3 linked regions of the Sus scrofa genome follow. The protein of the gene in region 3 interacts with the protein of the main gene of each other region in a pairwise test. Links are inferred from orthologs where the notes say so. Each region holds a gene or a part of one and is shown on either strand. Other genes may lie near its edges.

Region 1 (7,648 bases), on a different chromosome or scaffold from region 3:
TCCACGGAACCCCCACCCTCAACTGCAAAGCCAGACCCATAGGCCCAGGCCCATTTGCCCCCATCCCGCCAGGCCTCCCAACCATGTTCCAGGGAGTTGCCTCCTGGCGCCCTCCTCCCAAGCTTTCTACCCCTGCGCTCCCCCCTCCCCAGTGGCCAGAGAAGTGTTCCGAGGCACACTCACCCTGCAAGTGTCCATCCAGGCTCTCCCCGGACAGGCTGGCACTGTCTTCCTCCAGGCTGGGGCGGTATGGGGGTGCATAGGACTCAGGGCCTGAGGGAGGCTGCTGGATTTCAGAGTGACTTTGCTCACCAACCTGTAGAGGCCCCAAATGGGGAAATGAAAACCTGGCAAGGGAGGGGACCAGGGAAGGCTGCCCTAACCCCCTATATGCACCCTGGAAAACCTACCTCTTGTTTCAGTTTCTTCAGTGGGGGGCCTCCCAATTCTTCGGGGTGAAGCCTTCAAAGATGGAGAGGAACAAGGAGAGTGAGGCTGGGGAAGGACAAGTGGTGGACAAGACACAGAATCTGGGGGGGGAAGAACACGCATTATTTCCAGAGTATGAAAAGATGCTGGCTAAGCAAGTCTCCAGCTCAGGCACCATTGTTGGGGGGGGGGGGGCAGTGGGGGGGCACAGTGGAGGCCTGCAATGGATGGGAGAAGGGGCCAGACCTCAGATAAGTGGACTTGGCCAAAGTCAAGGACACACAGATGGGGGAGAAGCAGTCCAAGAGGCACCTGAAGTAGAGATTAAGACATGACCCAGCTCCTTGGAAGGATTCTGATCTAGGAAGGACCTAGAGAAGGGAGTCTCACCTGGAGCCCTTCAAGGAGGACAGGTAGGTACTCTCTCGGGCCACCTGGCGGGACAGGGAGAAGAGCTCCACCCTCCGCAGTAAGAGCGTGTTGTCCCTCATGCAGAACTGGGCAGCAGCCTCATTGATGGTCAGCTGTGGAGAGGGCGCCAGCGCAGTCAGAATCCTAACTCACCCAGCACCTTGCCCAAACCTCCTCTCTCCCCTTCACCATCAGACAAGCAAGGCCCAGCCATCAGATGCTTGCTCGGGTTCTGACACTACGCAGGAGCTTTCTGAGGGAGGAAGACAGAGGTCAGCACCCAGGAATGCCCAGGGCCTCCTCCACTCCTGTGGGGTTCTGAGCAGCATGGAGGACAGCTGGGCTTTGCTTGTGTCTCTGCTTCCGCCTCAGTTGAGGAGGGAAGCACTGCAGCAGCTGGGGTTGGCTGGGGAAGGGATCAGGGCCTGGGGTCCTGGTCAAGGTCAATGAAACAGACTTGGGGAAGTGATCATTCTCAGAGATGAGTGGGTCAAGGCCTGGGAGTCAAGAGCACTCCTGGGAGGCTGGGATCCTTACCTCATGTAGGCTGAGCTGCTTGCCCTCCCGCCGCTTGGAGTCAAAGCGGCCATAAATGATGCTGTATTTGCGGATCTCCTCTTCCTTCTGGCTGTCGTTATCGTCCATCTCAAAGATGTGCCCCACGCTCCGTGCCAGCTTCTTGTTCAGCTTCAGCAGGGACGTTACCTCCCCAGCATCCCCCCTCGGGAAGCTTCGGAAGATTCTCTCCACGCTCTCCACCACCATGCGTACCATCTCTGGCTCCAGCCGATCCGGACCGCCCCCAGCCCCAGCTGCTGCCAGCCCCCCAGCCCCAGTCCCCTCGGGGACTCCTCCCCCTGCAGGTGGGGAGAACGGGGGTGAGCCAGACTCGTCTTCTCCTCCTGCCCCAACATCGGACTCTGGAGTACTCCGGCCTGGCCAGATCCGGGGGTCCCCTGCCCCAGGTCCCCCGGGCAATGGTGACAGCTTCTCTCCAAGTTCAAGGGGGCTCTTAGGGCTAAAACTGCGGGCACTGCCCGCCTTTTCCCCAGGACTGCCATGCCCGTTGCTCATGCTCCCCTTCCGGGACCCCGAAGTCTCAGAGATCTTGAAGAGCGGAATGCTGGAGACGGGCACGGCGGGCACTGGCTGGCTGAAGAGCCCTGGATTGGTGGCCCACTCTCTTAGTGCCTTCTGTAGGCGTCGGACATGGAGAGGCTTGGTGGCCATGCCCACGAGTGCCATGATCTCCAGGAACTCCTCCTCACCCGCCTCACACAGTTGCTGCACGTCGTCCCCTCCCTGCTGGATGAAGGTCTCATAGTAGGAAAGGAGATTGGCGCGCTGCAGGACCCGGTACAGCTGCAGCTCCCCCAGTGTCCGAGGCAGGGCCATGGCTCGGGCACTGGGCCTGAGAAGGAGGCACAGGACAGAGAGGGGATGGCGGTCAGTGCAAGTCCTCCTTGCTGGGTACGAACACACGTTCACGGTTGTTTTCTCTTTCCCACCCCTCTTCCGAATGCTCTCTCTGCCCAGTGCCTAGGTCGGAGCCCAAACCACAAGAACCAACCACTGCTCAGAGTCACAGCCATGCTAATGCCATCCCAAACTGGCCAGAAGTACTAAAAACCATACTGGTCTTTGTGGAAGTCAAAGGCTCTGTTCCCCCATCCTCAACTTTTACTTTTCTGGCCTGGCACAAGGAGACCTTGCGCGCTGAAGCCAGCCAGCACACCCCGGTGATGGCTGGACCACCCTCTCCTCCAGAACACAGTCCTCGTCTTCCCCCCAAACACCCAGCAATCTCAACATTACACAAGTTAGCTTCCCACACTGAGGTGAATGTATGAGCCCCCACCTCCCTACAATGGACACCTGGGCAGCTTTATTCTCTGGTGGCATTATGCTCATGTGGCTGAGGCAGAGGGTGTGGCTTCCCTGCCCTTTTCAGCTCAAGGAGCCAAGCAGACCCCTACTCTGCTACCTTTTCCCACCTCTGCTAAGCCTTCCCCAAGGATTAGGCATTTTCCTGCTGTCTCTCCCCAGAACCTCCCCCCTCTTCCAGACTGCCCAGTGGCCCTCGGTTGGTCCCTCTCCCAGCAGTGACCTTCCCACCTGCTCCAGAGGTAGGCCCATCCCTTCAGCTCAGGCACAGGGGAGGGGAGAAGTGCCTCAATTGTTCTGCTTTGCGGCCCGTTCCGCCCACACACACTCCCACGGTGGTAGCGTCCGTGGGCGAAAACCGCCGGGGGGCTCCCGCCTACCCCTCTCTCCCTTTTTCCATCCACATCTTCAAGTGGAGTGGGGGAGCGACTCAAGGCCTCTTGAGGGAGGGGCTGCACACCGAAACTCCCCTCCCCACTCTGTAAATAAAGGTACGGAAATGGAAATAGACGCCTAAGGCACGTCCTGCTCCTGCAGAGCCGCTCTGATGCGCTCTTGGTTCAAAGGCGCCGACTTCTCCCGACCCCAAAGCGGCGCGCTCCATGCCAACCACAGATTGTGCCAGCTGAGCGGCTCTTCCCCAGCACTGTTGCCAGCTAGAACTCCAGGGCTTCCCCTGGCACTTAGGAGCCCCCACATTCTTTGCAGGGGCTCACAGGCCAGGTCATGCTCACAGAGTAAACGAGGAATGGAGAATTAGATACTATTCCTTCACATCCAGCTTCATCAGATCCCTGCCTGCTCCCATGGCCCCCTAATTCGAAGGCGCACCCCCTTTCCATCAGTCTCCACCCCCCACCCCCGTCCCTCTTCCCCTAGTCCTCTCCTCGACCTCCGCCCTCCGGACCCCTTTCCCCGAGTCCAGCTCCACCCATTTCCACTCCCCGCCGCTTCCCTTTGCCCACTTACTTGAGTCTGGGCTGAGGGGTCCGGCGGGCGCTGTCCCCTCCGCCCGGCGGCTGCTCGGCAGTGGGGGAGGGAGCTCTGTGCATGGACGGCTGGAGACCACCGGGGATGCCCCTCTCAGTGTCCGGCGCTCGGCGCCTTCTGTGTGCTGCGATCTTCCTGGCGCGCGAGGCCGTGTCCGCCGCTGTCCGGGCTCCGTCCCTTCCTCCACGTCTCCTCTCTCCGAGCCTCCGCGCCTCTGTCTGTGCCTCTACCCCCCCCCTCCCCGGCTGCGCTTGCCGCCTCTCCGCGCCTCCGCCCCCGCAGGACGCACGGGGAGCGAGGCCCGGCGCAGCACTGGCTGCCAGGCGGGCGGAGGGCGTGGGCCGAGCCGGGGGCGGAGGCTTGTGGGCGGGGGGCGGGCGCCCGGGCCTCTCGGCCGGCGGTGGAGAAGCCTCAGCAGAGAGGCGGAGAGAGGCGGAGAATGTGGGGAGGGGGGTGTGGAGCAGGAGGCGGGGGCGGGGACTCGGCGCCAGGGCGCCGAGTTGGGGACTAAAGTGACCGAGGCCGGGCTGTGGAAGGCGGGCTTGGGGACTCAGCGGGCGGGGCGAGGTCGCTCGGAGCCGCCTACGCCGGATGCACAGCCGGCCTTCTTCGCGCCCACGTACCCACGTGAGCGCCCAGCCGGCGACATTCTTACTCCCACTCCTCCTTCCCCTCTGAGCAGAGAGCGGAGTTTCACAACCACGCACAGGTACACAAAGACACAGAGAAGCACACCGACGGGCACACGCGCCTAAACAACTACCCGGTCGCCTGCTGCCCACACTCGGGCTTCGCGGTGCTATACGTGTGAATGTTAGGAGTGAGCCAGGAAAAGTTGGGAGACTGGGGTGCGCGGCTCCTCTCGTGGGTGCTTCTGACTCCCGTAGAGTGTGCACTTAGGACAGATCTGTGAACGTGGAGCTCTGCAGGAATCCCTCACAGATCCTCGCACTCTTCCCAAACCACGTCGAAGTTCGGGGAACAGAAATGGGCGGGGTTTGCCATAACCTGCTGCTTAGACGCGCGTCTATTAGTCGCGCTGGGTTGTTAGTGCTTAGGTCAGGCAAGGATGGGAGGGGTATCCTGCCTTCTTCCGCTAGTAGCATCCTATTTGCTGAGAATGGGGACCTACCTCTGGGGAATTCTGTGTGGCAACTTTGGGAGGAGGATACCCCTTCTAGGGACGTCTGTGAAGGTATTTCGCCGGAGTCAAGTGGGAGACCGGCGGAGGCCGGGCGCGTCGGACGTGGCTCCCTACCGACGTGGCTCCCTACCGAGGAGTAGGAGGGAGGAGCTCCTTCAAGGAGCTTTGCCCCTCTCTGCCACCCACCATCCCTCCCCTTTCTTTTTCCCAGCCCCATCTGGTTCCCATTACACTCCCGCCCACGGCTGAGAGGGCCGACTGGCGGGGTCTCTTAGAGCCCGGCCCAGCGGCTCTACGCCCCGAGGAAATGAAGGAGGAGGGGCGGCAAAATTCCCCCTAATCCAAAATCTCAGCCCCACCCATCATTCAGCACTTCTGAGTGGCCCGGGCCAGCAAGGAGTGGGTAGCGTGGGCCAGGGCTGGTTCTACATTCCGGCCTGGCGAGGGGACCCTCCCGTCTCCGGGTGGGACAGGAGAAGAGAGGTGCACCACTGGGGGGAATTTCAGTAGCCAAGATTCTCTTGTCCGTTCCATGAAGCCCCCAAAATGGGGTTGGAGGGTGATCGGGAGCGAACCGAGTCCTCGGTTCTACAACTGGAGGGCGCGCCTACACCGGCTCCCGGCGGAGACACTCCTCGACCCCTCTTAAATGTGTGGGCGCCCCTCCCCCACTCTCTCCCGGTTATTTTAGAACCTGGGCGCCAGCGGCTGGCCCGGGGTTTCCACGTGCCTCCTCCCTCCCTCTGCCCACGCTCCCCGTGACGCACATCCTCCGCCCACACAGTCTCTGCTCCAGGCGCCCCCCTCCCTCCCACCCGGGCCCCCTAGGGGCGGTGCTGAGCCCCCGGATCCGAAGGGAGACGCTGGCTGGCCCGGGGAAGACGGCTGAATAGGGCGTGAATCAAGGGGGCGGTGACCAAGTGGGCGCCGGGCGCTAGAGTCCCGGCCCTGGAAAGGAGATGAGGGAGGAGCCTATTCTGGGGCCTGGGCTCCACGGTCCTGGGGCGGGTACTAGGCCAGAGAGAAAAATTGGGGGAGAAAAATCCTTTGCACTGGCTCAGCCAACTCCCCTAGGGATCAGAAGGGATAATTTCTGAGTGCGAACTTGTGTTTGAGATTGAAACTCCGGGGTGTTTATATCTTTGTTTCTCGGGTGTCGTGAGGGTCAAATGAGAGGGTGTATATGAAAACTCTGTGAATTGTGAAATGCTAATAAGCAAATTTAAGACGCTAGTGCCAGTTGGTGCCTCTGTACCCTGAGATTATGTATTTATATGCTTCTTTACATCGACTTGTGTGTCTGTGTCTCTGTCTCTCTCTAGGTTTGTGAGCCCCTCTGTGTGGATTTAAAAATATGCACATTTAAAAAATCATTGACTTGTCAAGCCCCGCCAGAGGCCCAGACGCCCCCGCAGCCGGAGCTGCTGAGATGTCTGTTCTTCTCTTACCTCCCACTCCTACCACCTCCAACTCCCCTCCTACTCCCTTCCGTTGAGAACAAGGAATTTCCAGCCTTTAGCAAATGGAGACAGAGACACAAAGAGACTGGGACTATGAAAAACTACAGAAAAACAATAAAGATAAGAGACAGGTGGGGGGAGGTTGACAAAAAAGGGGTGGGGGCAAATACAAAAATCTTAATTTCTTCTCTTTTCTCCCTGGGCCCCATTTTCCCCAGTGTGGCTCAAGCCACTTCACTACCCACTCACCTGCTTCACTCTCCCACCCCCCCATCCCGTTACCTCATTGTTCTCAGGGGCACACAGAGCTGAGCTATTGATCTCATTTAATCAAGGGTTAGTTTATTGTCTATACTGATCTCTTTCAGGAAGAGAAACAATATCCTGGGTCTCAATTTTCCAAAAACAGAGGAAAAGATTGTGAAGAAAGTGGGTGGAAGAGGAGTGCGGATATTGCTAACCAGAAGGATTGTCATTCCTAGGCAGGAGTAGATTTTCATCTAGCAGATTGCACTGCTCACCGCACCCACCCCTACCCCCCAACAAGTTTTCACCAGGCCAAATACAGCAAGATTTGGCTCAAATGTCACCTGCCTGGTCCCTCGCCTTCCTGCACCTCCGCCAGGAAGAATTAATTTCTTCCATCCTTCAGTAGCCTCATGGCTCTTGGTACGCATTTCGACTATAGTTGCTGGTTTCATCTTCAGCCTGGGGTCTTTCCTGGTCTGGTATCTGGTGGACCCTCTGAAGTGACTGAGTTGATGATGCTGTTTCCAGGCTGGAGCAGCTTTGAAAAGGGTAATTGACACAGATTTTACTCCAGAGGAGGCTGAACCTGGGCAGAACTGTTCAAGTGGAGACCATTGTTTTCCATGTCTCCATGCTTTTTTTTTTTTTTTTTAATTTTGGAAATGTTTTTTTATTTTTATTTTATTTTTTGCTTTTTAAGGGCACACCCGAGAGATATGGAGGTTCTCAGACTAGGGGTCTAATCGGAGCTACAGCTGTCGGTCTACACCACAGCCACAGCAACGCAGGATCCGAGCCACATCTGTGACTGACCTACACCACAGCTCACAGCAGTGCCGGATCCTTAGCCCACTGAGCGAGGCAGGGATCGAACCCACAACCTCATGGTTCCCAGTCGGATTCGTTTGTGCTGCGCCACGATGGAAACTCCCTGAAAGTGTTTTTTATTAAAGTATAGTTGATTTACAATGTTCTGTCATCCTGCCTTCTTAAAGTTTCCAGCGAGTCTCACAAGTCTGACTCCTTGGCCTTCTAAAATGTCTACAATTTTGGTAAATTAATTCATACCCAGTTGCTAGAG
Region 2 (7,629 bases), on a different chromosome or scaffold from region 3:
GAGCCGAGGTTACCCATTACCCACTCCGCACTTCACAGCAATGACTTCATTTATTTGATTGATTGATCGATTGCTTGCTTTTTAGGGCCGAACCCGCAGCACATGGATGTTCCCAGGCTAGGGGTCCAATCGGAGCTGCAGCTGCCAGCTTACGCCGTAACAACAGCAATTCGGGCTCTGAGCCAGGTCTGTGACCTACACCCCAGCTCAATGCAACGCCAGATCCTTAACCCACTGAGTGAGGCCAGGGATCGAACCCGCATCTTCATGGATACTAGTCAGGTTCGTTACTGCTGAACCATGACAGGAATTCCGCAGAACAATTTCACGTAAAATTCCTCGGGTGTTCCCATTGTGGCCCAGCAGGTTAAGGACCTGACATCGGCTCTGTGAGGGTGCGGGTTCAATCCCTGGCCTCCACTTACTTAGTGGCTTAAGGATCCATTGTTGCCAAAAGCTTTAGCATAGGCTGCAGGTGTGGCTTGGATCCGGCATTGCTGCGGCAGTGGTGTAGCTCTGATTCAACCCCTGGCCTGGGAACTTCCATATGTCACAGGTGCAGATGTAAAAAGAAAAAAAAATTCTCCAGTGTCTGTGGCAGCAGGCATTCCAATGCCGTGGGGCCAGGCTGCCTGGGTTTGAATCCTGGAGCCTCCTCCACTTCCCAGCTGTGTGACCTTGTGCAGGTTACACCATCTCTCTGGGCTTCTGAATCCTCTTCTGAAAGATGCTGAAGGTGAGAAATGCCTCAGAAGGCTTTTGTGGCATCTATTGAAGGACACGTGTGAGGCAGTAGGGTCAGTGGATGAATGGCAGCTATAACTTCCCTGCCAGGGGAGCAAACGGAGGCTCAGAGAGGTGAGGGGACTTGCCCAGGGAAGTGGCAGACCCTGGAATTGAACTCAGACCCGTCTAAACCCCAAAGTCCGTGCTCCTTCTTCTGCATCAAACTGCTCCAGACTGGACAGCCACACCCCTGGGGACAATTCCCGGTTCTGCCATTTTTTATCAGTTTGATTCTGAGCAGCTCACCTCATCTATCTGAGCCTCAGTTTCTTCATTTATAAAATGTAGAGCCTAATTCTTTTTTTTTTTTTTTTGTCTTTTGCCTTTTCTAGGGCCACACCCGTGTCATATAGAGGTTCCCAGGTCAAGGGTCCAATCAGAGCTGTAGCCACTGGCCTACATCAGAGCCACAGCAATGCAGGATCCGAGCCACGTCTGAAACCTACACCACAGCTCACGGCAACGCCAAATCCTTAACCCACTGAGCAAGGCCAGGGATCAAACCGGCAACCTCATGGTTCCCAGTTGGATTCGTTAACCACTGAGCCACAACGGGAACTCCCAAGCCTAATTCTTACTTTCCCGAAAATAGGAGAGTTGCGAAGGTCAGAGGAGAAATTGTGCGACAGGTAAATCCTGGACGAAGCGGGGAGGTGAGTCTGGTTTGTGGCTATGACCACATCTCCTCTACTAGCTGGCAACACCCTGGCTGCCTGTTCTGGAAGACAGGATGCCGAGGTCATGAAGAGCGTTCGTGCAGCCTCCAGGCTGCAGTGCTGAGACCCATGACTCCTCCTTGGGGAACCCTGTGGATCTCTGGAACCAGCCAAGAGGGATAGCACTCTTCTGGTCCATGCCCATTTCGGCCCCAGTCCTGCAGCTCTGGGCTGTGGAATAGTCAGTAAGAGAAGAGCTCTGACCCCATGTGCTTGGAATGTCATCCTCCAAGAATTTTTTTTTTTTTTTGTCTTTTTCTAGGGCTACGCCCATGTCGTATGTGGGTTCCCAGGCTAGGGGTCGAATCGGAGCTGTAGCTGCCGGCCTACGCCAGAGCCACAGCAACGCTAGATCCAAGCTGCATCTTCAACCTACACCGCAGTTCACGGCAACGCCAGATCCTTGACCCACTGAGCGAGGCCAGGGATTGAACCCTCAACCTCATGGCTCATAGTTGAAATCATTAACCACTGAGCCACGATGGGAACTCCCCCTCCAGGAAATTATATTAACCCTCCAGAGAGACCAGCAGGGCCTGGGGATTGAGTGGACTAATTGGACGGTTGAAATGGCCTTGGGGCCTCCAGGGACGGGCACCAGCCTGGAAGACCATGCAACTGTGTGCCGAAGAGAACTCCTTTGGGAATGAGAATCGCCCTGATTGCTATTTCCATGCCCAGGTTCCATGGAAACCCTGGCCTCTGGGGGTTAGGGGAAGCAGGTGGGTGAAGGTTAGGAGGCCAGAGAGCAGGTGGGGGAGGCCTGGAGGAACTTCAAGGAACTTATCTGACAGTCTTTCCCTTGCCATGGAGAAAAATGACTTGAAACCCCTCTAGAGATGAGTGTGGCGAATTGGCATGTAAGTTGGGGGTTAAAGAGCGGAAGGAAGAATCTGATTGTTTTTTTAAGTTACTGGGAAAGTGAGAATGTCACTTTGGGCCGAGAGAAACCCTTTTTTTTTTTTTTCTTCTAGAGTGTGTCTTTCTACTATAGACGGTAGTGGGCCGCTGAGACTTGCAAAAAAAGCTTTCTTTTAATCCACCTTCCTTTTGCCAAGCAGCAGTAGAAGGGCCTTTAAATCAAATGCAATCAGCAAACTTGTCTCTTGCACTTATTCCCAGCTTCACTCCCTGGAATTTGGCACTTGATGGATGCTGGATCTGACTTAAGGCTTTTTCCAAATCCGAGACTTGGGGAATTTTGTTAACAGTGCAATAAAATAACTTCATAGTGTTATAGGAGGCACATTAAAGAAATTGTGTGTGTGCTGCTCTCTCTCCTTAAAAAAAAAAAAAAAAATACAGACAATGTTTCTTTAAAAGACTCCATCTGCAAATCCCATTAGATGTGCATATAAGGTTTCTGATGATTAATAGTTGCCTGCTCGGGTTTTGGTTGGAGGGGATGGTGTGTGTGCTGGTTAACCCCTCCCTCTCCTCTCTCACATTTCACTTCAGAAATTTGTCACTCTCTCCCCACCGCAGGATTTAAAAGTGTGTCTCAGCAGCCCTGGACCAGCTCTCTGCAGGCGTTTGCTGCAGGCTCCAGGACAAGCGCTCTTTAGCTGGTGCGTCTGGGCTGGGACAGTGAAAATGTTGAGTGTCATCAGCGACACATACACGTACAGGGGACCCCAATAGGCAAGCTGGTGCGTCGGGGGGGCCAGGAAGCCAGGAGTGAAGTCTGATAGAGGTGTGTACACACGTGTGTGGAGCCAGCCACCTGTGTGCGGACCGTAAGGAGCGACTTTAGTTTTGGTGTTTGTTTGGGGTCCTGGGTGGAATTTTTCTGTTGAACATTTTTCTCTTCTGTTTAAAAAAAAAAAAAAAAAAAAATTTTTTTTTTTTTTTGCATTTTTAACAAATTGAGTATAAAGTATACCAATCCAGCCTTTGAAAGGACTGAGACGTGGGGCAGACGACAGATGGATCCAGTGGCCAGCAGCTGCATGAGGGGCCCCCACCCCCCAGCCCCGGTCTGGGGCTGCCTTCGAAACCCCCACTCAGAAGGCAGCGGGGCCTCAGGGCTCCCCCACTACCCGCCGACCCCGTTCTCCTTCCACCAGAAACCAGACTTCACAGCGACAGCGACGACAGCGTACCCTGACTTCTCGGCCTCCTGCCTGGCGGCCACCCCGCACAGCCTGCCCCAGGAGGAGCGCCTCTTCACTGAGCAGCACCCCGCCTTCCCACAACCCCCTGACTGGCCCTTCCCTGTCTCGGAGGCCCGGCGGAGGCTCAACCCAGGCCCGGCGGGGGGCTCCAAGGAGATGGGGGCCCGCAGCCCAGGCCTGGTGGACACCACGGGTGGCCCGGGCGAGGACTACGAGGTCCTTGGGAGCAGTGCCAATGAGACGGAGAAGAAGTCAACCAGACGGAAAAAGGAGAGTTCAGGTAGGTGGCTGGGGAACAGCTGACGTTTCCTTTACTGTGTGATCTCGGGGCGGTTGCTTGCCCTCTCTGAGCCTAGGTGCCCTGACCGTAAATTGGGATCTAACCTAATCAGAGGCGGGGACTAGACCAGTTACCTCGGAGTTTCAGGAGTCTCTGGTGATGGGGGCTATGACTATGTCCCCAGCCTTCCTGGGCCCCAGAAAAATGTGCCAGCGAGAGAATGAAACAGGATCCACATCGAGTTGGAGGGCATGTGGGAGGGAGCCTCTGGGTAGAGGCTGGCAAGGGCCGCAGAGGGGCTTTCCTGCATCTGGGCTGCCTCTGGGTCATGCTTCTCCCCACCACACCCCAGCCAGCTCCAAACAGTCCCAGAGCCCCAGGACTTGCTCCCAGGGGCATCAGCTAAAACCGAGACTTGGAAGGTTAAGATCAAGGCTGGGACCCTGGGCAGCCAAGCAGAACCAGAACTCTGTGTGTCCAGGAGGCAGAGGAGCAGGCACAGGGCGGGGATGCAAGAGGCAAGCACTGAGCTTTGGGGCCGACCACCCAGGAGGTACCACCCTACCCAGCAGGCCAGGCCCAGGCCAAAGGGTCAGCTCAGCCTGCTAAGGTCTGGGTGACCCCCAGGGCAGGCTGCCCCTCTGAGGAGCCCTCCAGAGAGAATCAGGGAGGCAGGCAGCAGAGGGCAAGCACTGGATCTTGGCGTGAAGGTAACGCCCAGCTTGGTGCTGGAGCCCCCGAGGCCAGAGGCTGGAGCTGGGCTGCTTGCTAAGATCCCAGCTAAAGTCCATCTCCTCCCCGTGGTGGGGACCTGTTTTTTCCTCATCTCCCAGTGGGACCCCCCCTAGCCCCCCACCACGGGCTTCTCTCACCTCCTGTTCACCTTTGGCCTGGATCCCTCCCCCATCTCACACAGCACAAGACAGTGCCCTGGCCTCCTGCCCCTTCTGCCCCATTGTGTCTTCCTGACAACTGCTTCGGGGTACATCTGACTGTCTGAACCTACAGAGGACCCTTCTTGGGGCTCACCAGGGGCAGGCTGAAAATGAGAGGAGCAGCCAACCAAAGAAAACATGCTCCGCTTTGCTTTACAAAGCGCTTTCAACGTAGCACAGACTTCCCGAGCATCTTCTCTTTGCCAAGAGGCCCTGGGGTTGCAGAGATGAAAAGGCGGTCTCACTCCCACCTCCAAAGAGCGCAAACGGAGAGGGAGGGGAGGTCAGCAGGTGCCTGTCTGGCAGTGGATGTGCTCTGATTCAGGGGGTTCGAGGTGCTGCAGGAAACATACCATAGCTCTTTTGAGTCCCACAGGTTTTCGAGTTTGATACAGCAGGTCTTATCAGTGACTTGATTCTTTAGGCGTGGAAAAGGAGAAACTTAAAAGTTTGAGGGGAGCACTGCTAGCAAGGAGTCAAAACAGAACGACCCATTCATCTCAAGGAAGCCAGGACTTTTCCAGTTTTAGCATTGAAAGTTCAGCACCCCAGGGACAGTTAGTCACCCAAGAAGAAAACTCAAACCCCAGACTTCAGACCCCAAACCCACCCCCTTCGGTAGATTTCAAGCACAATTCTTCATTTTGAAATATTGGGTCTCCAGGCTTGAAGAAGCCTCTCGGTGTGCTTGCAATGAATGATAAAAACCACAGCCCTCCAGGCTGCTCAGTAGACGGGCCCTTTAAGTCCCCAGTCGGCTAAATCCTGACCTATTCCTAGGCTTGGCTGGAGATGTGCCGAGAACGGGGCATTTCTGCTTCTCCTCTCCAAGAAGCTCTCAGCCACTTGGCTCTGCACCTCGTTGAAGAGCCCTCCCCTCTGTGGCGCCTGCCACCGTAGCTCCTCCATCTCTGCCCACATCCACCTTGGCTGCATCCAGGGACCTGGGAGCCAAGGGCACTGGGAAGACTCGGGCAAAGCCAAGGGCTGGATGTAGGCAAGATCATTCCGTGTTTTGGCGAGACCCAAATGTACCGTCTCTCCTTTCGGCGAGTGGCCCATGGATGGCGCTGCTCATGTGCTAAGCAGCTGGCCACCCCAGGGCACAAAGACACCTTCCTCAGAGGGTCTGTCTTTGGTCGGGGGAGGTTCCCAGCCAGGAGGGGCCCTGGGTTCTCCCTCCAAGTCCCCTCAGAAGCAGCAGAGGAGCAGCAGTCACAAAGCAGGGCACAGCAAGTTGACTCTCATTCATTCTCGGGGGGTGGGGGGGGCGCTCCAGACCCGCTCAGGTCAGCATGGAAATCCTCATTGCCCGTGACTTGCATCTTCCTTTGCAATTTAACCGAACGGGAAGGAGGCAAGAAAGATCAGCTTTGAAAGCGCCTGAAGAAAAGGGAAACCAATGAGCAGGGCTCACAACCAACTGCAGGAATCTGGAATTCAGTTCACGAGACACAAACCCACAAAGACTCCCCCACCCCCACCCCACCCTTCCAATCCTGAGCCATTGGCTGGATTCTCTATTCGAAATTTTGACAGTCTGTTCATGGTGGACTTTGGGTATTAATTTTGATTTTTTTTTAAATTTACATTAAAATATTCTTTCTCTTGATTATGTGAGTGCCTCTCGCGCCTCACCCTGGCCCCTGCTAACTATCTCTGGAAGGCTAACCAGCAGTGAGCAGAAACGTTTTTTCCATGGTGCTTCATAGTCAGGCAGCCAAGCTGCAGGATCAGCACGGTCCCTTTGACTGCATGACTTTGGGGAAGCTCTTAACTTCTCGGAGCCCCTGTTTCCCCAGCTGTAAAATGGGACTCTAACGATATCACTTTCCCCATGGAGTCACTGCGAAGGTCAAATGCTGTGATTCCTAAGATTAACCCTGTGCCTGGCATGTGAGTTCCATAAACTGAGTGGTATGAGGTCCATATGTGCAGAACAAGTCAACACTGAATCTGACAGATAGCCCTGTGTTTATGGGGATGGTGCAATTGAATATTTCAAATATGTTGTCTCAGAATTTCCTGAGTCTGGGACGTAAGATGGGGGAACTTCTTGCCATCATTATTGTCCTGAAATCCAGTGGCCACCAGTTAGGAGCCTGGAGCTCAGCGATCTGCTGGAGCGGTTGGGGTGAGGGGGTGAGTTGTGCCAGGTAAATTCATCCCACACCGGCTGACCTGGCCAAGGAGGGTGCATAACGGAGAGGTGTCTCAAGAGGAACGTTCTCTGCTCTCCCCTGTCCTTTGTCTGACAGTCCCCACTGTCCCCCGTCATTGCCTGGCAGTGGAAGTAAAGCCGATTTGCTCAGGAAAGTGGGGCTCCCTGGCCCCCACCCTGAGACCTTCTGTCAGTTCACAGCACAAGACTGATTTAAGAGACTGGTGGATGTTAACTCAGCCCAACCAGTCCCTCCCCAGGGCCAGGGGGGTGTCAAAGACCCCTGCTGGCAGGGACAGCTGCGAGGCCACTATCGTTTGCCCCCAGCCTGTCGTGGCTACCGTGGTCATCCTGAATTTATGGGAACGAAGGATTTCGCGGTGATTTCCTGATGGGGTTCAAGGGAAGGTCGCTCGTGATCAGTTGGGCTCCAGGTGAACAGATCACCCGCCTGGGAGGGCTGGATACCCGGGCTCCGTGCAGCTCTGATCACCGACGCTCTCATGTACTCACTCTGCCTTCAGCAGACTAGCTTTGTCCCCTCGGCAGCTCCAACACGTGTGTCCCCCAGGGCTCCTCCTTCCCCGATTTCCTCCCCACGAGATCTGATCGCCACTTGCACCTGCCCAGCTACGTG
Region 3 (7,537 bases):
TTTGTAGATACACTGATAGACAGATATCAAGTAAACACATATATACACAAATATACATGTGTGTGTGCGTGTGTGTGTGTGTGTGTATCCTCTTCAATGGCCCCAAAAGGATTAACAGAAGAGTATTAGCCCCATAAAATATAACAAGAGAGACAGCATAAATTGTGAGAAGGGAAAACAAGGATTAAGGACCCCCCCCTTAAAATAAATAAATAAATAAATAAATAAATAAATAAATAAAAGTATGACATTAAGCTTAAAACACGTAAATTTTTAGATCCATAAGCGTGCTACAAGTGGACCAGAAATTTGAATTTAAGCTTTCAAGTTTTACTGAATTATAGTTGATTTACAATGTGTGAAAATTTCTGCTGTACAACAAAGTGATCTGGTTATACATATACACGTATCCATTTTTTTCTCAAATTCTTTTCCCGTATAAGTTATTACAGAATATTAGGCAGATTTTCCTGTGCTATAAAGCAGGTCCTCATTGACCGTCTATTCTGAAGCTAAGCCTTCAGCCAACTCAGATAACAAAATCTTTCCAATGTCATAATGTCCAAAATATTAAAACATACTACTTCTTCCATATTTGGTAATGCCAACTATGTGATATTCATTCTGTACTTGTAAAAACAGTCTACAAAGTTAATCCTCCAATATTAACTTGAATAAGTACCTAAAAAAAGAGACATATATGCTTACATCAAGTAAGCCTGTTAGTATTCACCTGTGAGATCTGTTCAACTCGCTCATTCACATCAGGTAGCATCCATGTCTCCTCACCCCGAAGTCGTTTAAGTTCTTTACGCCTTTCTTCTTTTTCAAAATTGGCTTTAGCCTAAAACAGTGAAAAAAGAAAAATTGATCTGCATTCTTTTCACAAACAGAAACAGAAACTTCCACTTTCATAAAACATTCTTGAATGAACTCCTTCTTGCCAAGAATTTGCTTCTACAAAAGTGTAAGAGAGATTAAAAAAAAAAAAAGGGAGTTCCCATTGTGGCGCAGTGGTTAACGAATCCGACTAGGAACCATGAGGTTGCGGGTTCGGTCCCTGCACTTGCTCAGTGGGTTAAGGATCCGGCATTGCCGTGAGCTGTGGTGTAGGCCAGCAGCAACAGCTCTGATTGGACCCCTAGCCAGGGAACCTCCATATGCCTCGGGAGCAGCCCAAGAAATGGCAAAAAGACAAAAAAAAAAAAAAAAAAAAAAAAAAAAAAAAAAAAAATCTCCTCCCACATTACCAATTGCATTACCAATTATCAACCTCTAGTATAATGAGCTACCAGTCAAGGACAGACTCCTGGGATCTATTGCAGACCCTTCCCTCTCCCTAAGCTCCCTACCTCAAATGTGACTTGAATCTCTTTTCCCTTCACTATCCCACTGATAATGCCTGATACTTTTGTAACTGTTAGGACACTGTCAAACTGCAATATCCATACCTGTTATAGCAGGCAGATAGTTAGGCATGAGCAGAGAAGGGGGAAATGGGGCCAAACAGCAGGAAATCATGTATCATGCTAACAGCAGGATCCATGGGTGGGCAAAGAAAAGTGGGGGAGTTCCTGTCATGGCTCAGCAGTTAGTTAACAAACCCAAATAGCATTCATGAGGATGAAGGTTTGATCCCTGGCTTTGTTCAGTGGGTTAAGGATCTGGCGTTGCCGTGAGCTGTGGTGTAGGTCACAGATGAGGCTCAAATCCTGTGTTGCTGTGGCTCTGGCATAGGTCAGGGGCTACAGTTCCGATCTGACCCCTAGCCTAGGAACCTCCATATGCCATAAGCGTAGCCCTAAAAAAACACATGCAAAAAAAAAAAAAAAAGAAAGAAAAAGAAAAGCCATAACAGCGTTCCCATTGTGGCTCAGCAGGTTAAGAACCCAACTAGTATCCATGAGGATGCAGGTTCCATCCCTGGCCTCACTCAGTGGGTTAAGGATTTAGCATCGCCATGAGCTGCAGTGTAGGTTGCAGACACTGCTAAGATCCTGGGTTGCTGTGGCTGTGGCATAGGCCTACAGCTGCAGCTATGATTTCACCCCTAGCTTGGGAACTTCCAACCTCCAGACTGATAGGAAACTACACCTTTTGGGGTGATAAGTGCCCTGGAGGCTGACAAAGACAGGTGGGAAAAGATGCAACTCTCCAATGTCCAAATATAATCTGTTCCTCGTTATATTATAATAAAATTAGCTATATGGATAAGAAGTATCCATCATACACTGATGCCATGACACTTTCAATAACGACAAAAATCCCTCCTCCCTTCGGGAAGGTGAAAGTGGGATGAAAATTAAGGAATACGACACCCCAAACTCCAGCCATACAATTGGAGTCCCCATATAACCGGTGTGCCAAAAAAAACATGGGGCAGCTGGTCACCTCTCTGCAGCCTCTCCTTAAGAGCTGTATTTCTCACTGAAGTAAATCCTCACTTTTCATTCTTAATTTGTCTCATTTCTGAACTCTTTCTGTGACAAGAAACTAACCTTTGGGAACATACTCATACACCGAAAATGCTTCAAGAAGAATCTCCTTTCTGAAAACAAATGATCATAATCCTAATAATTTGTCTCTCTCTCTCTCTCTTTTTTTTTTTTTTTTTTTAGGGCCACACAGTGGCATATGGAAGTTCCCAGGCTACAGGTTGAATGAAGCTGTAGCTGCTGGCCCACATCATAGCCACAGCAACTCAGGATTTGTGCTGCATCTGTGACCTCACCACAGCTCAGAGCAACACAGAATCCTTAACCCACTGAGTGAAGCCAGGGATCGAACCAGAGCCCTCATGGATACCAGTTGGGTTCCTTACTGCTGAGCCACAGCAGGAACCCCACATAATGCTAATTTTTATTCATCTTTTCAACAACAGTCAAATAAAGATCTTCCTAGGAGGCTGTTGCTGCCTTTTCATTCTCTCCCCAAATTTCAAAGCTGGGTTTGGTTCTTCTCCCTCAGTGCATAGCTCTACCATAAAATTTATCACAGCTTACAAACTCTACTCCCTCCAACAACTGCCTGAAACATCAGAGACAAGGATGAAGGATATTTATTACACACATATATTACACTTACTGAAACAAAGGAACTACACGAACCTTTCACCTGTCCAAGACTTTCTGCCCTCTCTTCCTCTGTAAAATTTTACTGTAGTCATTATACTTCTCCTCCTTGTTCTCCTCTACCGGCTCCCTCTCATCTGCATTTAAACTCGTTTTAAACTCTTTCATCTTAAAACAAAAGCCCTCACTTATGGCACCATACATTGTTCTTTACCACAACGTCTCCCCTTCATTGCCACACTTCTTACATCTTGTCAGATAATACAGTAGTACAGTTTACTTCCTCCACTCTTTACACGCATCTCAATGAGAAATACAAGGATTCTCAACCTTTTTCGGGGGGCTGAATTCTAAGTCTCTTGTCTCAATCCTTGTAAAGATCAGTAAGGGATTACAATAAGCCAAGACAAACAGGTTAAAAAAAAGAGCGGGGGGTAGTGAAACGGTAAAACACTTCACACTAATATGCCTTACATGTGTTCCTGAAAACGGAAAGTTTCATTTCAGATACAGCAAGCGCGAGGGCTGAGGCTGTAAAATACTCAGAGAGAGTCATTATAAGTGGTGGAGTCCCAGGGAAGTGAGCAAATCAGGTGACCAGGTGTTAAAAATGTCAAGAATGAACGGTTTAAAAGATAAGGAAATTCAGAAGAAACAAGTTTTCCTTAAAAAACAAACATGAACAAATGGAACATGCTTCTGGAGCACCCAGGAGGCAGAAGATACTCGAGTTTGTAGGAATTTCCAAAGGGAGACAACTACCTCCACACAACCGGAGGTAAGATACAGCGGAGTGAAAGGGAGAGTGTTGGGGAGGCACGAAAGCCAGAGGTCTGGTTCCCAGAAAGCCTCCGCTCTCGATTCTAAATGGCGCCAAAAGCCCCCAAACGGCAGTACCTGTCGCAACACCTCTGCCCTGGCAATCCGGGTCTGTTCCTTACGCTCCTCAATGCTCCTGGCACTTTCAAAACTACCACCGACAGCCGCCATAGTTGTTGTCGTCGTTAAGCTAAGAAGCTGTCGCAAAAATCTCAGTTTACGACTGTCGTAATTTAATAAACAAACCTAGACTTCCGACCAGAAGGAGGGGTGCTGCTCCACCAACGGAGCATGCGCAATTCTGACTGTCGCTTAGTATTCTAGGGACTTGTCCAACTTCCAGGTTTAGAGAGGACGGAAGATTAATCTGAGGAGTTGCCTGCCCACTTTCATCTGTTGAGACTGCCCTGATCAGGGTTACTGTTAGTGTACATTTATTATGCACTTTGTACCATACCGATGGCATTCTTAGCTATGTCCTCCTAAAACCACCGCAGTAGATTAGACACTCAGAGAGGTTAAGTACGCACCTCGAAGATTTGCACCAAGGTGCCCTTCCTGCCTGAGTTCCCCTGTGCTGGAGGAATGTGCTGAAGGGGAGGATTATCAGAAAGGCAGTGCACGCTAGCAGGAGGGCAAAATTGCTTTGAAGAGCCAGTGGTTTTTTTTGGTGGATTTTAAGTACAATGTATGAAAAAGATGTGAATTTGCATGGCACTTCATAATTTATAGGTGCTTAAAGTGCAACAGTTTTTCTGACTTCATTTGTTTATACTTATCCATTCAAGCGTTTTTTTCATCACAGCGTGCAATTGCTCCCAAACATAAAACTTTAAGCTCCGTGAAGAATAAGACATTCTGAAGCATTAATCAAGTGCTTTGAGAATATAAAACACTGAGCTTATTTATAATCGCAAAGATAAAGAAGGCTGGAGAATATATACTAGTTACTTTAAAAAAAACATTTAAAATAGTTAACATAAACTAGATTGAGGTAAATATTTTTTTTTAAGTTTTCATAATACTACATTTGTGTTTGTAAGAAGCTTTCCCAGGAGTTTCTACTTCCCCAATCCATGAAGATCTTAACTTTGAGCATTTAGTGTATATTTGTTTGATATACAAAATAGAATGTATTCATTGCATTTTTGTTACAGAAAAGCGATTTTAATTTATGAATTGACCTTGAAATATTTTCTCCACTGTGACCTCACTAATTTTTGTCATAATTAACCTAACTATCATTCAACTCTTTCAGATTCTCTTAGGATTCAGAAAAACATCTGTTAACCCCTTGCATCAATTATAGGATGAAAAAATGGCAATTATAGCAAAATTATCTAACGAAAACTTTTAAACTGTACATAAGGCACAAAAAAAAATAGAACAAATAGAGAAGCATAATGTGTGCTTGAGGAAGACTCAACATCATAAAGGTATCAATTGTGCATAAAATATTTTGTAAATATTAAGCAATACAAATAAAACCTCCAGGAAAAAAAAAAAGTTGGGATCAGGAGGGGAAGTAGAGAGGGTGATGTAGAAAAGTAAGGTAAAGCAAGTTGTTTTTACTAGTTTGCATTTGGCCACACCTAATAGAAATACATGGTTTAATCAAACAAGTTGTAATGTAATAAGGAGCCTGAAGATAGCTAGTCTAGGAACAAAGTTTTTCTCCTTTTCTGCTTTGTAACATTTAGTCTGTAACTTAAGTTCTTCATATTTGCAAGGAATGTATTCCATTCCTTCACATCTGTGCATTCACCTATTAAAACATAGAAATAAGGGAGGAGAACAAGGGCCAAAAAGTGTATGCCACCTAAGCCTTCCCCATTTTTATTAGGAAAATGATGACTTTCCTGAAGTCTAATCCAGTTTCTTCCACTTGAATCTTATAAACCAGAAATAGATCACATGACTACAACTAACTAAAGAAGAATCATGAAGATTCCAGAACAGTTTTGTTATAGAGTGACACTCAGATTAGTCCAAGGTTTCTTTGTGGTTATGTTATAGCAGGCAGATAGCTTGGTATGAGCAGAGAAGGGAGGGGGCGGTGTAGGTGCACAGGCCGGGTGGCAAGAACACATGTCTTGTAAATAGCAAGGGTTCAAGGGCAGACAAAGAAAAGCAAGAACCTCCAGACTGACACAAAACCACACATTTTTGGGTGATAAGTGTCCTGGAGGGAATGAAACATAGAATGTCCAGCTTCTGAATATAACCTGATGCTCATCATGTCCTCTTTACAATAAAATTAGACTTGCAGTTAAGAAGTACCGGAGTTCCTGTCGTGGCTCAGTGGTTAACGAATCCGACTAGGAACCATGAGGTTGCAGGTTCGGTCCCTGCCATTGCTCAGTAGGTTAACGATCCGGCGTTGCCATGGGCTGTGGTATAGGTCGCAGACACAGCTCAGATCCTGCATTACTGTGGCTCTGGTGTAGGCCAGTGGCTACAGCTCAGATTGGACCCCTAACCTGGGAACCTCCATATGCCGAGGGAGCGGCCCAAGAAATAGCAAAAAAACAAAAAAACAAAAAGAAAAAAAGCACCCATTATGCACCAATGCCATGATACTTCCCATCAAGGCTAAATAAGGACAAAAATCCCTCCTCCCCTTGGAAAGGTGGATCTTTAATCCATTTTGAGTTTATTTTTGTGTATGCTGTTAGAGAGTGTTCTAATTTCATTCTTTTGCATGCAGCTATCCAGTTTTCCCAGCACACCTTATTGAAGAGACTGTCTTTTCTCCATTGTATATTCTTGCCTCCTTTGTCATAGAATAGTTGACCATAGGTGCTTGGGTTTATTTCTGGGCTTTCTATCCTGTTCCATTGATCTAGATTTCTGTTTTTGAGCCAATGCCGTACTGTTTTTAATGACTGTTAGCTTTGTAGTATAGTGAGACATCAAGAAGGTGATTCCTCCAGCTCCATTTTTCTTTCTCAGGATTCCTTTGGCTATTCAGGGTCTTTTACGTTTCTAAACAAATCTTAAAATATTTTGTTCTAGTTCTGTGATAAATGTCTTTGGTAATTTGATAGGGATTGCATTGCATCTGTAAATTGTCTTGGGTAGTATTTTCATTTTGACAATATTGATTCTTCCACTCCAAAACACTGTATATCTTTCCATCTGTTTGTATCATCTCACTTCCTTTAGTCAGTGTCATAGTTTTTAGACTACAGGTTTTCACCTCTTTAGGTAGGCTTATTCTTAGATATTTTATTCTTTTTGATGTGATGGTAAATGGGATTGTTTCCTTAATTTCTCTTTCTGAGGGTTTATTGTTACTGTATAGAAATGCAATATATTTCTGTATATTAATATTTTATTCTGTAATTTTACCAAATTCATTGATGAGCTCTAGTAGTTTTCTGGTACAGACTTCTGTATTTTTGAAACTCTCTCCAAGTGATCCTGATGTGCAGGTAGAGAATCACTGCTCTAGTCGAACCAAACTCTAGGTGTGCGCATTTCTGCTTTCGCCCCTTTGTAATTCCCCCACCATTTACTCTTATTGAAATCCTTACCCATTCTTCAAAGTGTAGCTAAAATCCCACCCCTTCTGTGAATTGCTTCCTAGGATATCATAGCCTAATGTTAGCCTTTCTCTAAATTCCTACTCCAATCTGTTCTTACAT

Evidence for each region.
Region 1: the proteins of CWF19L2 (region 3) and NAB2 interact in binary tests that used the Homo sapiens proteins (3 or more experiments, as listed by UniProt). The two-hybrid records come from large-scale screens. The link is inferred for Sus scrofa from reciprocal best matches to the Homo sapiens genes CWF19L2 and NAB2.
Region 2: the proteins of CWF19L2 (region 3) and MEOX1 interact in binary tests that used the Homo sapiens proteins (3 or more experiments, as listed by UniProt). The two-hybrid records come from large-scale screens. The link is inferred for Sus scrofa from reciprocal best matches to the Homo sapiens genes CWF19L2 and MEOX1.

The regions. Positions count from the first base shown.
Region 1 is NC_010447.5:22,396,676-22,404,323, reverse strand, and holds the start of NAB2 (NGFI-A-binding protein 2), read right to left. Parts: upstream 4,050-7,648; 5' UTR 3,777-4,049; coding exon 3,694-3,776; intron 2,252-3,693; coding exon 1,378-2,251; intron 954-1,377; coding exon 820-953; intron 463-819; coding exon 411-462; intron 317-410; coding exon 184-316; intron 1-183. UniProt on the Homo sapiens protein: Acts as a transcriptional repressor for zinc finger transcription factors EGR1 and EGR2. Isoform 2 lacks repression ability.
Region 2 is NC_010454.4:19,428,440-19,436,068, forward strand, and holds the start of MEOX1 (homeobox protein MOX-1), read left to right. Parts: upstream 1-2,963; 5' UTR 2,964-3,427; coding exon 3,428-3,896; intron 3,897-7,629. UniProt on the Homo sapiens protein: Mesodermal transcription factor that plays a key role in somitogenesis and is specifically required for sclerotome development. Required for maintenance of the sclerotome polarity and formation of the cranio-cervical joints.
Region 3 is NC_010451.4:36,055,656-36,063,192, forward strand, and holds the start of CWF19L2 (CWF19-like protein 2), read right to left. Parts: upstream 4,063-7,537; 5' UTR 4,062-4,062; coding exon 3,969-4,061; intron 845-3,968; coding exon 734-844; intron 1-733.